2 linked regions of the Drosophila melanogaster genome follow. Changing the gene in region 1 together with any one later gene gives a genetic interaction. Each region holds a gene or a part of one and is shown on either strand. Other genes may lie near its edges.

Region 1 (7,366 bases):
GCCCCAAAAGCCACTTAATGACTAGCTCCGGCTCTAACTGAACTTTTTTTAATTTTCAGCTGTCGTCAGCAGCCGTAAAAAAGGCTTTAGTTTTGCATTGTGGGCGCTCAACAGTCCGTGCGGCTGAGCACGTGCCCGCTTTTTCGCCGGAAAAGTGGAAATGGAAACTTTGTAGGTGGGACGCATTCACCTTCTTCGTTCTGTACACTCATATAGTGCGAGTAGAAAGTGCCCGCGCGTGTCGGCTTCGAATGGAAAGTTCTTGGGGCTCCATTCCCTTTCCGTGGAACTTTCTCCGCCGGAAATTGATTAAGTTGGCTCCCTTTAATCAGCGGAATTGAAGATGCTGCCGAAATACAAATCAGTTGACAGTCGGCAGCCGTACTGCGCAATTTACTGCCCAATCCAAATGGTACTTTGAAGTACTTTCCGCGTCGGCAATTTCCACTCCTTGCTGACCAAATCCCGGAGAAAGCGGCAACAACAGCGAAAGTTGTTAAATGCCTAATGACATCATTCGGTCTAGCACTTTCTCGAAATGAACTACTTGTAAAACGGAACGAAACATTGTTTAATATTATAATATTAGGTAGCCATATATTGCTTGGGATAACGGCAGTCATTGTTCCAATTAAATCGTCCGGTTCTGAGCCATTGTATCCACTTGGTCTTAAGAATTTAACATGTTTCTTTTGTGTAGGCTCCAAGGCATTCTTTATCTGAATGCCACCTTGTGTTCCTGTTTTACAAGAATTTTCTTTGACATGAAATGCTCTTGCTTTTCACTGGCTTTTGCCTGCCGCTTATAAACTTTCCCTTTTGGTTTTGCGGCCAACGTTTGGCCTGCTGCCCGTTCGCTTGAGAAGTTTTCCTTTTCGTGGTTATTCATTCGCTTTCAACTTGATTTGGGTTTCACATTTCGGTGCGCATTTCTTGACCAAAATCTGCAGGATTTGTCTTCGCCGTCGTCCTTCCGCCTGTCCGCATCCGTCTGGCCAAGTTGGCCTGCCAAGGGACTCGGGCTTACTTGGGCGCCTCTGGCGCAGTTCATCACTTTGGGCGAGCCGCATATACTGCTGAGCTAATCATGACTCCTCAGCTTCTCTATATTCATCTCCATTTCACTGGAATGCTCTGAGTCCCGCCCAGACCAGGCCCCCCGATCTGGCTTGATGTGTTGGCAAGCTTTTGCCATTTGATTTGACGCCACTGTTTGCTTTCGGATGGGCAGAGTGGCTGCCAGGTGTGTGCTTGCCAGCACACTTTAGCGCTCTTCGGGCTCCTTGGGGTTCTATTATTGAGAATATCGAGCACCTGGGCCCCGAAAGCCAGCGGCGCAAAGCCAACGCGTGGGAGCGACTTCCTGGCAGGTGATTTAAAGCTCGACAGGCTCACATTTCCCGGCCTTTGTGTAATTGATGCACGGCAGCAGCTAAAGGATAACAAATCGCTTTCATCCTGACTCCGCTTCCGGGCGAGCACAATGTGTACAATCACAATCCGCCGTCTGCAAATACACAATCCATAATTCCTTTTTTGGCCAGCCCAGCGTGAAACGGATTTCCGGCGCCTCTTCGGCGAAAAAGGACCTCTCCGTCCGAAAAGCAATTAGATAAACTTGCCAGCTGGATTCGGCAATTGAAAGTGGCCGAAAGTGGAAAATTGCGGACCAGCTGGGAGTGGCAGGACAATTATGAGAGCGAAGGTTCGGATAATTCAGCAATTTGGTCGGGTTAGGGGAATCAGCGTGGAATTATTCTCCTAAGTGCCATGAATTATGACTTAGTTAGCTAAAGCGAATAAATTATTGTTACGGATTTCGGAGTAAAGCGTCCTTTTCTCTCTGAGCCAAAAACTCAAAACGTTTATACATCAGATTAGTTAAATGATAGGAAATGGAATTCATTTCCAGTTCTAGTGTATCTGACTGTATCAACTGTTCAATTGCTATCCACAAGAGAGATCCTTCCATATTCCCTGGACTAATCTCACTTAAATGGAAATTGTGTTTGTTTCGTATATATCTCACATTCATCTTTATTATTTAAGGTGCTTTTTGTTATTTGCTATTTGTTGCGACCATTACAACCCGTTGTTTTGCTCTGTTTCAGGTGGCAGAGCATCAGATAAGATATTTCGGGGCTTTATTCTGCATGTAGGAAAATTGCCTTTCCCCGTTCCAAATTGTTTTACATTTCAACCCAGAAAGTTTTGGCATTTCGCAGTTTACCTCTTGGCCCTTTGAGCATGTTAGCAATTATAAGCTGCCTAGGGAATATTCAAGGAATTTGTAGGAGCAAAGGGCAGGGTCCGCCACCAACACTGAGTTACACGATCCCTAGAACCCTGGACCTCTGAAACTCGTTATGGAAAGCTTCTTATGTTGCAGGACGGACGCCCGTTTTCTCCCCTGAAAACGCTCGCAGTTAATAAGCATTTCCTTTTGCCGGATTTTATGTGCCATATTTTATTCAGATTGCGCTTCATAAATGCAGCTGGTGAAAAGGAGAGCAAAGGCCACGGATAATGAACACCAGTCAGGCCCGGGTGGAGAATTTCCAGCAAACTGAACTGATAATGTTGTTAGAGTGCACACATACATGCATGCATGATGTGGGCGTGTTCCGGGAGGGCGGGGGGCTGGGAAATCAATTTCGGGGAAAACAAATTGCGCAGCTCGTAGTGAAAGCTCAGCGAATATAATACTGCTGCAGTTTCCGTGCTCAGGAGGTACACTTTTCCTGGCTGCCTGCTTATCTGTCATTTTAGCGGGAAACTATCGTTAATGGGAAACTGATAGCAACAGCTTTCCCACTCGCGATAAGTAATGTTTCCTAATTGACTTTTTATCACGCTATCCGACACCTGATACGAGAATTATATTATTATTCCCATTCGCCGAACAATAATTCACAATAATTTGTGAAATTGTCGCGATTTCGGGACATTCATCGTGACAGCAAGTGAGCAATCCGCAGCATTCATTTGCATTCTATAATTGAATTTATGTAACCAATATGCCTGTCTTCCCACGAATTAAATCACGCTGCATTGAGTTTTCGAATTGAGTTTCCGCCCGAGCGGATTGCCCACTTTTCAGTGCATTCCTCTGCCCGCCGATCAGGATTATTTATTTTCTTGCTCGCTACCTGTCGGATTTACTTAAATACATTTAAATGAAAACCCACGCCCTGTGCCATTTCAAGTAATGTTTACTCGCTCAACAAAATAAAAGGTAAATTTGATTGTAGTCCGCCGTACTGAAATATTGCATTTTGTCAGTTGCGAAAAATCAAACATGGAGTACAGTTAATCACATTCACAAAGAAATTCCATTATCCTTATATATTGTGAAAAAGATGTGAGATTAAGTATTTTAACATCAGCAATGTATTTAATGGTTAATTCGATTAAAATTTTTCAACTTCTTATTATATGCTACAATCAGAATCTTCTGTTTAGCAAAGTTCACTTTCATAGCAGCATGTATCTTAAGTACTTTAAATGGATCTCCACAAATTGTTAACTTTGCACAAAATTTTTCATTATTGAAATATTTTAATTTGCACACTTTTTAAAGAAGTTCTGTCAATTAACAGTATGAATATTATGCAATGGACTTCTAGACCTGCATTTGGCTAGCGAGTAAATTGTGGTGCCTTCAAAGAGGGCCCAATTTCCTGCCCATGCCCATGCCCAGGCCCATCCCAGCCCCCGAAAAACTCACCGCAAGAAGTGCCGACGGCTGGCATCGATGCTGGGTGCCATATGTTAGGCTTACGCGCTTATCGCACCATGAGCAGAACTTGGGCCACTGGCCCCGCCACTGGGAACTAGGCACTTGGCACTGGCACTCGTCCTCGGGCGCTGAAGTAGCTGGCGCAGAACACTGGTTGGGACTCCGCCGCCTACGTGTGGTAGGCGGGCGCCTTCTTATTTAACCGCTCAACACTTGGTTGCTCCGCTCCCCAGGTTGAACTGAACGGCGTCGATAGATCCAGCCGTCCGTGGAGCACTGAGCATCAGGTAGCGCACGAGCGGAGCCGACTGTTGCAGCCGAAGCCACTTTCCAGCTGCCTTCCAGCTGCCTGGGGAAGCGGACGAAAGCTCGATGGAGCTTTTGCTGTTGCTTCGCCAGCTGCTGCTTTCCCGATTTTCCGCCCTTCCGATTTCCCGCTTTCATGGCTGTCCCACGGCATCCCCTGTTGCTCCGCTGGAAGCGCGACGCCCACGCAAGTAGCTTTTCCGCGCAAGCCGCGACGAGCTTTCCCCGAAGGCGGCGCCTACGTTTCAAGGCACTCGGGATGGGAGCGAGCTCGCGTCGGCCACTCGGGAAGCAGCCTGCTCCATCGTCCTGCCAATCTTCCTGCCTCCTCTTGGGGCCTACAAGTTCGGCAGCCAAAAATAGCAACAGCGCGAAAGTTCGAAAAGGCTCTCCCAACCGCCTAAACATTACAGTACAGCCTCACTAGAATGAAGGGTTTTCTAGAAAGAAAACTTTCTAGACATTTCCGAAATGCATTCAAAGATGATCAAAATGAAAGGAAGCCGCCGAGTCTGAAGTGGAGATGAAATTTGACACTTAAGTGCATCTTTCATCCTAGCGAATTTCTACTGTTCCAAATGCCAAAATTTCCTTTCATTTTCGTTTGCCAGTGCTTTCCATTGTCAGTGTGTGGGCTCCTTTCTACAATACATTCCGCCTACTAAGCAGAGTGCCAAGTCAGTTTTTGGAGCTCAGCTCACGACCAGCCGCAGCTGCCTCGCGAAATTGTGTCGAAAATGTTATGGCTTGATATATCTGCTTGGGCTATTTTTAGCAGTGGGTGTGGGTGGAGCCAGTGTTGCCACTGCCACCATTGATTTTCCTCACTGTTTTCGTTTTTCCTGCTCCTGCCCCATGTTTTTCCGGACCTTTTCGGCTGTTGCCTGACGCAGCGCCTTTTATGAATGAACTTGGCTCACATAAGCATTTGTTATAACTCCCGTCCGCAACTAAAAGAGGGGCGTTGCACCCTTCGTCGGGTGCGGCGAGGATGGGGGAGGGGCGGGGGCTTAATCGGGGAGATAGGGCAACCCTAATAAACGCACTTTCAATGTCACCAAACTGCTTGCAATCTCATCAAGTAAATGGATTGCCTTGTCGTAGACGACATAGTCGAGGTTCTGTAATACAGACATTTGTCCATATGACGCCATTGTGTCCTATGTTGTATCTCGTATCCTTAGCCTGATGTCATGGATTCGTACGTGTGCGTGTGTGCGGCAAGGATATTGCTTAACTGGGGCGCTCTGCTCCGTTGGCGTATGGAATTATGATTAATATTTGCTCAGTTTAAAATTAATTGCGTTCAGCGATTGCCCTGACAGCCGTTACCAACTCGAACCCACGCCCACTCTAATCTAGCCACTTTTTCAGCCATTTATAATCCCATGGAAGAGTGTGCCTGAGGTCAGGTTATCGTGGGGCTAACAAGGACCTGGCTGCGATTGCACGGAGTTGCCGTGAATGATTACATGGGGCAAGGTCGGCCATCTAATTAAACTGCGCTACGGTAATGTAGTTATATGTATATAAAAAGGTAGAGCTAATCTACGATTCCTTTGATGGTTCTCCCCAGGGGCAGATGGAGCTTGTTTGCAATTAAAAGCTGATATTCTTTGTCGTATTATTTCATATAATTATATACATAGCTTACAAAACCGATGGGGTTAATTTTATGGAAAAATTAAAGGAGACAAGTCCTGGATAGGCTATGTTATGGTTTCAAGACACTATACTGTACAGTATGTATAAAGTAAGTTGAAGTTCACGAAATCCCATGATTGTCAATCTTGTGAAAGGTTCAGAGTCAATTTTAATTTTAAATACATCCCCCAGAGCGACCTGCCAGAGGTAAAGGGAGAATTTAATATTCTGGGCCAAGTTAAAGCCAATTTAATTCACTTTCAGCCTCCATCAATCTTTGTTATGCCCACAGAAGCGAAACTTGTTTGCTTATTTGCTCGGCGAGCCCAGCGTGAAAATATTTGTGCAATTGCTAGACGTTCTTTTAGGGGCCATCAAAATATAATGTCAAATTCACGCATGCTTAACTGCTCCGACTTCTGGCCAATGGGGAATCGTATCTGTATCTCTGTTGGTTTAGTATTAAAACTAAAGTACGTCGTAAGTTGTCCTTTCAGGCTGGTCACCGTATTTTGGTTTCGGTGGCGGATAAACGCGCTTTTATGTGAGCCGTTATGAATGCCCATTTCATACGCCGACTTGTTTATGTTTACGCGAAAATATTTTCGTTTCATTTTTAGTACGGCTCCCTGAGCTGCCACGCCCCCGCTTCCGGATGTTGACGCAGCCCTTAATCAAACAGCGGGCTTTTGTGCGACACTTACGTATAAAGTCCGATACCCGATGCCCGATGCCCAATGTCCGTGGTGAGCCAGGGCTATATTTAACGCACTTGTGGCTTGTGGCCTCTGGACCACGATCTCATCTTTCGGGCTTCTCCTTTTGCAGCTCGCGTATGCCAGCGGCCATGTCAATGGCAACGGCATTCAATCAATCGCCACAGAGTCGACACAAAGCCCACGCCCAGCAGGTCCCCGTGCTTGATGAATGAGTCAGTGGATCCGGCGAGTCCTATTCCCAGAATGACGGCCATGGCAACGCCAGCTGCAAATACAATCGAGTCACATGTCCAGCCGCCTGAGTTGGCCAACAACAAGTGGTGGCCGTGCACTGAATGCCCGAGCAAACAAAATCATAAAGGGATTGCACGGGGATCACAGAGCGACCTATCAAATGGGGCTACATGACGAGTGGGAGTCCGTGAATGGGTCACCATATCGCCCTGACATTATTATGCCAGCTTTCCGCTGGTCTATTTGTGGGTGTGACATGACCATTCAAGCTTTTTGTCTCAGGTCAACGAGGTGCCTCGAATTGTTATTCAGTTGACCAGACCTTAACTGCAGGCAAATAAATCATGTTTGCAAATGCCCATTTATGGGAAGGTAAACAGATAGAAATATAGAAGTTCTCTATCCTGATGTTATGTTATTTCCATATCAGTCGGCCATTTTTATGGGCATTGAACCTATTATCCTAATTGTCTGTATCGCGTATACGTAAATTACGTATACGTATTATGCACATAAATTCTCTGTTATAACGAAAAAATCTAGAATTCCGGTTCCTCACTTAAAGTTAATAAATTTTGCTTGCTGACGTACAACACGTAGATTCACTTAAGGTCATTGCAATATTAATACGGCATTCATTAGGTGAATTGCCTTAAGAATCGATTGGCTTTAGACGTTTTATCAATACGCCGAGCGGTTTCCTTAATTAAATATTTAGACACGA
Region 2 (6,647 bases), on another chromosome or scaffold:
GTTCCCGCAGCACGCACAGCAAAAGCAGAACCAGGGATCATCACAAATCGCGGTCTATTTCGCAGAGGAAAACCAGGGGTCCAAGTTCGGAAAGCAATTCCCGATCCGCAACCACACCCGCAGCTGCTCCCGTGAAGGCCATCGATCTGTTCGACACCAAGGTGCAAAAGGCACTCGAGACTATAGACGAGGACACCTTCAAGCCGGAGTCATTTTTTAGCTCCAGGGATTCAAAGGAGACATCCGATAAGGTGATCATAGATCTGAACAATGAAACGGTCACAGTCGCCAGCAAGCCAGCCACTGCAGTCCGAAACGAAGATGTAATATTCCATCCGAACGTGAGTGGGTTACCTGGTGCTCGAATATACATGCTAATAGTATCTGATTTTCAATTCCGACAGTTCCTGGGCGACCCGGATATGAAGGCCGAGAAGTGGCTGCGCAAGCTGTACAATTACCGCCAAAAGTACATGCAGGAGTAGTCGAGTTTAGACTCTGTATTTAAGAAACAATAAACCTATGTCTAGAATATATCGCTGCCCGTCTTTCGAGCGCGTTGCAAGGCCTCCTCCGGAGTCAGTTGCTCATTGACCGAGGGCTCCTTGGCGCTGCCGTCCTTCTGCAGTTTTCCCGCCTTGAAATCTTCGATAATCTTCTGCGAGTAGACGGCGTTGAAGAGATCCAAGCTGGTGAACTCCGACTGGACGACGTCCGGCGCCTTATAGGACACGTATGGCTTTAGCTTACAACCGGTCAAATCGGGAACTATGATGTCCGGAATTTTCTCGGGAATCTCCACATACTGCCCGTCGACAAGTATGCCCGTGTCTCGTACACCTCGCTTGTGAATGGCTACCGGCGGATTGGCCAGTGTTTTCTGGGCTTCCTTTACCACGCGCGTACCGCGCTTGTTGTATGCGTTAAATTTACGGAAGTTCCGCTTGCCCTCCAGCACGGATGAAGTACTGATGGTCCTCTGCTGGCACCTTAGGGCAATGGGCACTACTTTAATACAATTATTCATTCTTATTTCGTTTTTCGGCGACCAAAATGGTTAAATAACAAATGTAGATGAGGGAACAGCTGTTTGGTTGGGTAGAGATGACACTTTTTTCGATAGACAATTAATCCCAGTTGGAAATGTATTGGAAGCCAATTTGCTATTAAACTACTTGTTTTTTTAAAAATACCGAAAAAGTTTTTTTTCTTTTAGGCCGTTGCCATATTTATTTTATCTTGATAAGAACTAAGTTGTTTTTTTTTTCAAAAACTAGGCATATTTTTTTTATGTGTAAAAGCAACCATCTCTTAATAAATCGATTAACTTTGCAGCCACCAGTGCTTAAAACGACTGTTAGTTGAAATGAAACTAGATGTTGGCGGATGTCGATGTTTTTGGCGAATAACATCGACGTTTTAAACATCGATGCTTTAAATAAAAATAATTGCTTTTTATTTTAATGTTGCTTAAATAAAACGTCAGTATTTGGTGTCCACCTTTTCATCCTCCGCTGGTCCAGTAATTGCTCCTATAAGACAAATGCACGTTTACATACATACATGTATATACATTTAGACGTGCATATGACATGCATTCATATGTGCAAGCCTTTTTCGGGTGTTAAAAACTTTCTTCTCAGATATTTTCCATGTCTATCACGACGCCACAATATGGTATTAATAATTGTATTAGAAGATATGGAAAATTAATTTGTACTTACAATTTATACGCTTTTCTCCTCAGATGCGATGTAGAGATGGAAAAACATCGATGATTCCTCGAAAACATCGATGAATGCGATTTTTTGAAAACATTGATGACATCCATGCTAGCATCGATGTTTCTCCATCTCTAGCTGAAACTCCCCAAATCGGCTTGTGATCCCTATAAAAAGTTGATTTAGATTCGACGGTTGTTAAACAATGTCGTTACCGGCTGAAGAGGAGGATTTGGCGGACACTGTCGCCAAGTACGATTCCATCGAATTGAAGAGCATACAGGACCTGGAAACCTGCGAGCAGCAACAACTACTGCAGTACGTCGAAAAGCTGCACGGGATTATCCGCAAATACGACACCAAACTGGCGTCCTATAAACAAAAACTCCTACACTACGTGAGTCCCAATTAAAGGTTGAGCTAAAATGGTCTTAATTTTTGATCTATTTTAAAGGTAAGCCGGGAAGAAAAGGTTTCGTGTGACAAAGCCAGCCAAGCAACTGAATCGGAATTACAAGAATGCCAGTATTCCATGGAAAACGATGAGGATACTAACAAAAAAGACCAGCCCAACGATTGTGAGTTAAAATTTGTTTTATTACACTGAGTCCTTCTATTATTGCTACAATAGTAGTGAGTTCCTACTTTGTTTTACTGGCCACCGCGGCCACCAGCGCAGCTCCACGTCCGGATCCGTCCTCCGAGAGCATGATGTCCCACTCCTTGTCTGCTTTCACCAGCTTTTGGAGTGTTTGCCTCATGTAGGCATCGAACTTTGGATGGTATCGGTAGACGGAGCCATCCATGCCGACTATCACGCGGCGGTTGGAAGTCCTGTTCACCAGCCCACTGACTCCGATGGCTACTAATGTAGCCGCTCGCTTAGCTACGCACTCGCAGATGTATCTCAGAGTCTGGCAGTCCTCCACGGAGGCCTTCTCTAGACCAAACAGATTTTTCACAATCTTCCTTGTGCTGGCAAACTCTGGGAAGGAGTCGTCCTCGATTTCCGAAATGTAGCGCGTCTCGAAAACCTCTTCGTTTCTCTGCAGCACGCTGGCGAATTCTGGACGTCGACTGCTCTGTTTAAAGATCAGCTTGCGCTCGAGGGCACGAAGTAGCACAAGGCGCACCAGGTTGCCCAAGTACATGCCCGCCGTCATCTTTTCGAACAGCTGCTCCGATCGGTTTAGAGACTTTTCGTCAACTTCGCGATCGTATTCGGTGCGCACAAAGTCCAACTGACCACCCTCACCAAAGGCGCCCCACTCAGCATTTACAATCACACTCCGCTTCGTTTTTTTAAAGTCTGCGCGCAATAGGTCCACATTCTCAACATCTTCAACGTAGCAGGCATTGCAGCCAGTTCCCACAATGACACCCACCCGGCAATCTGCATTACGATGGGCGCAGGACATCAAGGTGCCAGTGGTATCGTTGAGTATAGCCACCACGGCAATGTCGGCATCTCCGCGCCGCTGAATGGCCTCGTGCAGCATGCGGCCCACATCCTCGCCCTCAACCCCAGCACAATCGAATCCCTTAGTCCAGCGTACCAGGATGCCCTCCTTAAGGCCTAGTTGCACGCAAGGGAAGGAAAAAGTGAAGCCCAGTGGCAGATATGCGGTCTTCATGTCGTGTTTCTCCACAAATTTGGCCAGGCAGCCCGCAATGTGATCGAATAGGTCCACACCGGGCCCCACCATCAGGTCCTTTGGCACGGCATAGATCTGAGAATCCACCGTGGCGTCGTGGTGACCTTTCAGCGAGACGAGCAGTACTCGGAAGTTGGTACCGCCGAGATCCAGGGCCAGGTACTTGCCCATCTCGTCGCCCGTGGGCAGATCCTGCACGTACGTGGGAAAACACTTGACGTTGGCCTGTGGATGCGTGGACCGCTTAAGTCCACGGGCCACTTCCAGGCAAAAGCGACTGTACACTTCCTGCACCTGGTAATCACTCAACACAAAGGGTTGCATAAGTTCTCGCACCTCCGCGTCCAGCATTTTGCTTGGCTAATCTATCTGTCTTAGTTGTAACCGCCTCGAACGATGAGTAACGACTAACCAGGCGCCTGGCGAGCCCACGGCGATTTGGAGTTGCCCTGGGTGCCTGATAAGAGCCAGGCGTTGAGATGCAGTGCGCCTTGGAAACAACTGCTGCCGCTGCAATATGGGCGCTGCGTAGCAAATTAAAAACGAAAACACACCTAAGTAGCTGATTTGCGGATTCCGAATCTGAAACTACAACTGCGCGACATGCTAATCGCTCGTTGTCTCGTTTGCCGCTTGTCAATTGGTGGCAATAGCTTCAGATTCGGCACCCTACAAATTAATTGTAGATCGTCTTTAGCCGACTATTGGAAAGGAGGAAATATGTCACAATTAACTCTGCGAATAAATCCCGGATGGACACCGATCGCATGGCACAAGAATCCATTAAGAGATTACTATTAAAAAGTGTTTCAGTATCTACAAATAAGGTGTCCTCCGTTGTACTAAATTGTTGTATAACTTTTCGTAGAGTGCCATATTTCCGGAAAAAATGGCCAAGGCCGTATTTCACTTTTTTACTTTCTAAAAGCCATAAATTGTCACAGGGCGATATTAGCTGCAACACGCCTTCTTAGTTACGATGAGATAAGGCCGTTTCAAGGACCGCATCTTACAAGCGCAACCCACCCACTTGTCTATCTATTGAGGAGTATTGGCGGGGTCCTAGGTCGAGTACGTCAAACATTCCATGCCGGTAATGCCCGAGATAAGCACTGAAGTGTCGCATGGGCTAACGCCACTGCCCCTGACAAAAATCCGAGCAGCCCTTGACACTACTCTTAATAGAATTAATATGATTACGCAAAACTCAGGGGATTAGAAAAATAATTAGAATTCTTATACTAACACTTAAATAGCTACTTTATAGTTCGTCTAAATACATATAACTATAAACATTAATTTATGAATGTAAAGATAACTACAACCCATTTCCGACTATTTTTAAAGTTGAAATAAGGAAATGTTTTTCAAAACTGCTGATAACATTGCTCATTTTCGTGTCGTTCACCACAGGTTTCTGTTTTTATTTCTATATTGTCTTAAATATTTATAAAACCTTATCAATAACCATCAAAACATTACAAGTCATGTTTGGAAAATAATTTATATTTGCAGTATCGGCGACGGACGCCTTCAGTTTTGTGGACGAAATGAGGCAGGCAGCCAAGCACGCCGAAAACCTGAACAACTTCGTTTACGAGCACACCTCTGGCATGTACTACGATCCCAAGACGGGATACTACTATAACGCGGTAAATAAGCTATAAACAGCGGACGCAATCTTTATGACGTCCCGTTCTATTCCGCGATGCAGTGACTGCACCGCGATGACTTTCAGGGGTTATCGCGCTGGCAAACCTACATCAATGGCTCGGATTGTTGTTAATCTACACCTGCTTTTCTCTTCCTCGCAGGAGTACGGGCTGTACTACGATGGTAACAACGGCTGCTACTACAGCTATGATCACGCCAAAGACTCGTACGAGTTCCACTCTCAGGCCCAGGTACAGGTGAGTGGGTGTAGTTGCGGATTTCAATGCCATACGACCACATTAACCACTGTTCTTCTCCTCCTCGCTGCGCAGCCTTTGAGCGACTGCGCCTATAGTAGTCTTTTAGCGGGGTTTCACAAACTCCGCATAGACCGAATGCGTAGCAATGCATTAGGTAAGAGTCAAGGTCCAGAATGTGCGATAAAAACGCGGATTTCTTTTCTTAACTTGGTTGCAGGCGAACGATGCGGCCAAACCGGAATCGGAGGACGAGGATTTGGAGGTGCAGTTCGATGAGCTGGGAGGCGTCATTACGGACCACGAAACGCTGAAGAAGATTAAGGCCGAGAAGCAAAAGGCCAAAGATCAAGCTGAAAAATCCAAGCGCAAAGCCAAGAAAAAGAAGAGTAAAAAGCACAGCAAGAAGAGATCCAAGAAGGAGCGCCGTCACAAGTCCAAGAAGCGTCACAGGCATTCTGATGATGAGCGGTCTAATGATGCCGAGGAGGGCGAGCTGTCGCAAAGCAGCGACTCCAGTTCCGACTCTAGCAACGAGGATAGCAGCAGCAACACGGAAGACAGCAGTGTTCCAGTTTTCAAGGCTGCCGGACGCTTTCAAGGTGTTTAAGTTATCCGCGTTTTTATCGCGCTCTTCCCTGTTTGTTTAACTAACGCTTTCTTCTTTGCTTAGACATTGCTAAAAAGTATCCACCCTCCCTCCGCATCATTGTCCAGGAGACTAACGTAGAGTCGCTGAAAGTGGGAAGCCTGCATCTAATCACATACAAAGGTGGATCTCTTGGACGGGAGGGCGCTCACGATGTTATCATTCCGGACGTGAACGTCAGCAAGTGCCACTTAAAGTTTAAGTATGAGAACAAGTTGGGAATCTACCAATGTCTTGATCTGGGCTCCCGAAACGGTACCATTCTCAATGGATCCCCAATGTCCAGCGACGCCATGGATCTCGTTCACGGCAGTGTTATCACTCTGGGCCAAACAAGACTACTGTGTCATGTCCACGAGGGTAACAGTACCTGCGGTTTGTGCGAGCCGGGCCTTTTGATAGAGAATTCTCCGCCGGTAGTGGCCGCTGTTGCCTCATCCACCGCATCCGTATTATCTCACAAGGAGCAGTTAAAAAAACTGCAGCGCAAATATGGACTAGAAAACGAAAGTAAATACAAGACAACTTATACTCTCACTTTACTTTGACAATCCTTAATTCACTTTTAGAATTCGTTGATACTAGCGGCAATGGGCAGTCCAACTACAATGATCGTGCCGCAACAAGGAGAGTCCAGGTGGGCAGCAGTACAGATAAAGAAAAGACTGAGGTGGCTTGTGTGAACACGTGAGTATCAGCTTACACATCTTAA

What was found.
Region 2: of IA-2 (region 1) and Hex-C, changing one suppresses a phenotype caused by changing the other (phenotypic suppression), as found in Drosophila melanogaster (one study listed by BioGRID).

The regions. Positions count from the first base shown.
Region 1 is NT_033779.5:1,039,237-1,046,602, forward strand, and holds the start of IA-2 (IA-2 protein tyrosine phosphatase), read right to left. Parts: upstream 3,983-7,366; 5' UTR 3,753-3,982; coding exon 3,728-3,752; intron 1-3,727.
Region 2 is NT_033778.4:15,216,538-15,223,184, forward strand, and holds Hex-C (hexokinase C), read right to left. Parts: upstream 3,793-6,647; 5' UTR 3,728-3,792; coding exon 2,363-3,727; 3' UTR 2,300-2,362; downstream 1-2,299. Other genes in the region: CG11808 (uncharacterized protein), read left to right, coding at 1-341, 405-485; mRpL41 (mitochondrial ribosomal protein L41), read right to left, coding at 527-1,027; CG8079 (uncharacterized protein), read left to right, coding at 1,927-2,118, 2,176-2,299, 4,892-5,028, 5,191-5,286, 5,507-5,888, 5,960-6,445, 6,505-6,622.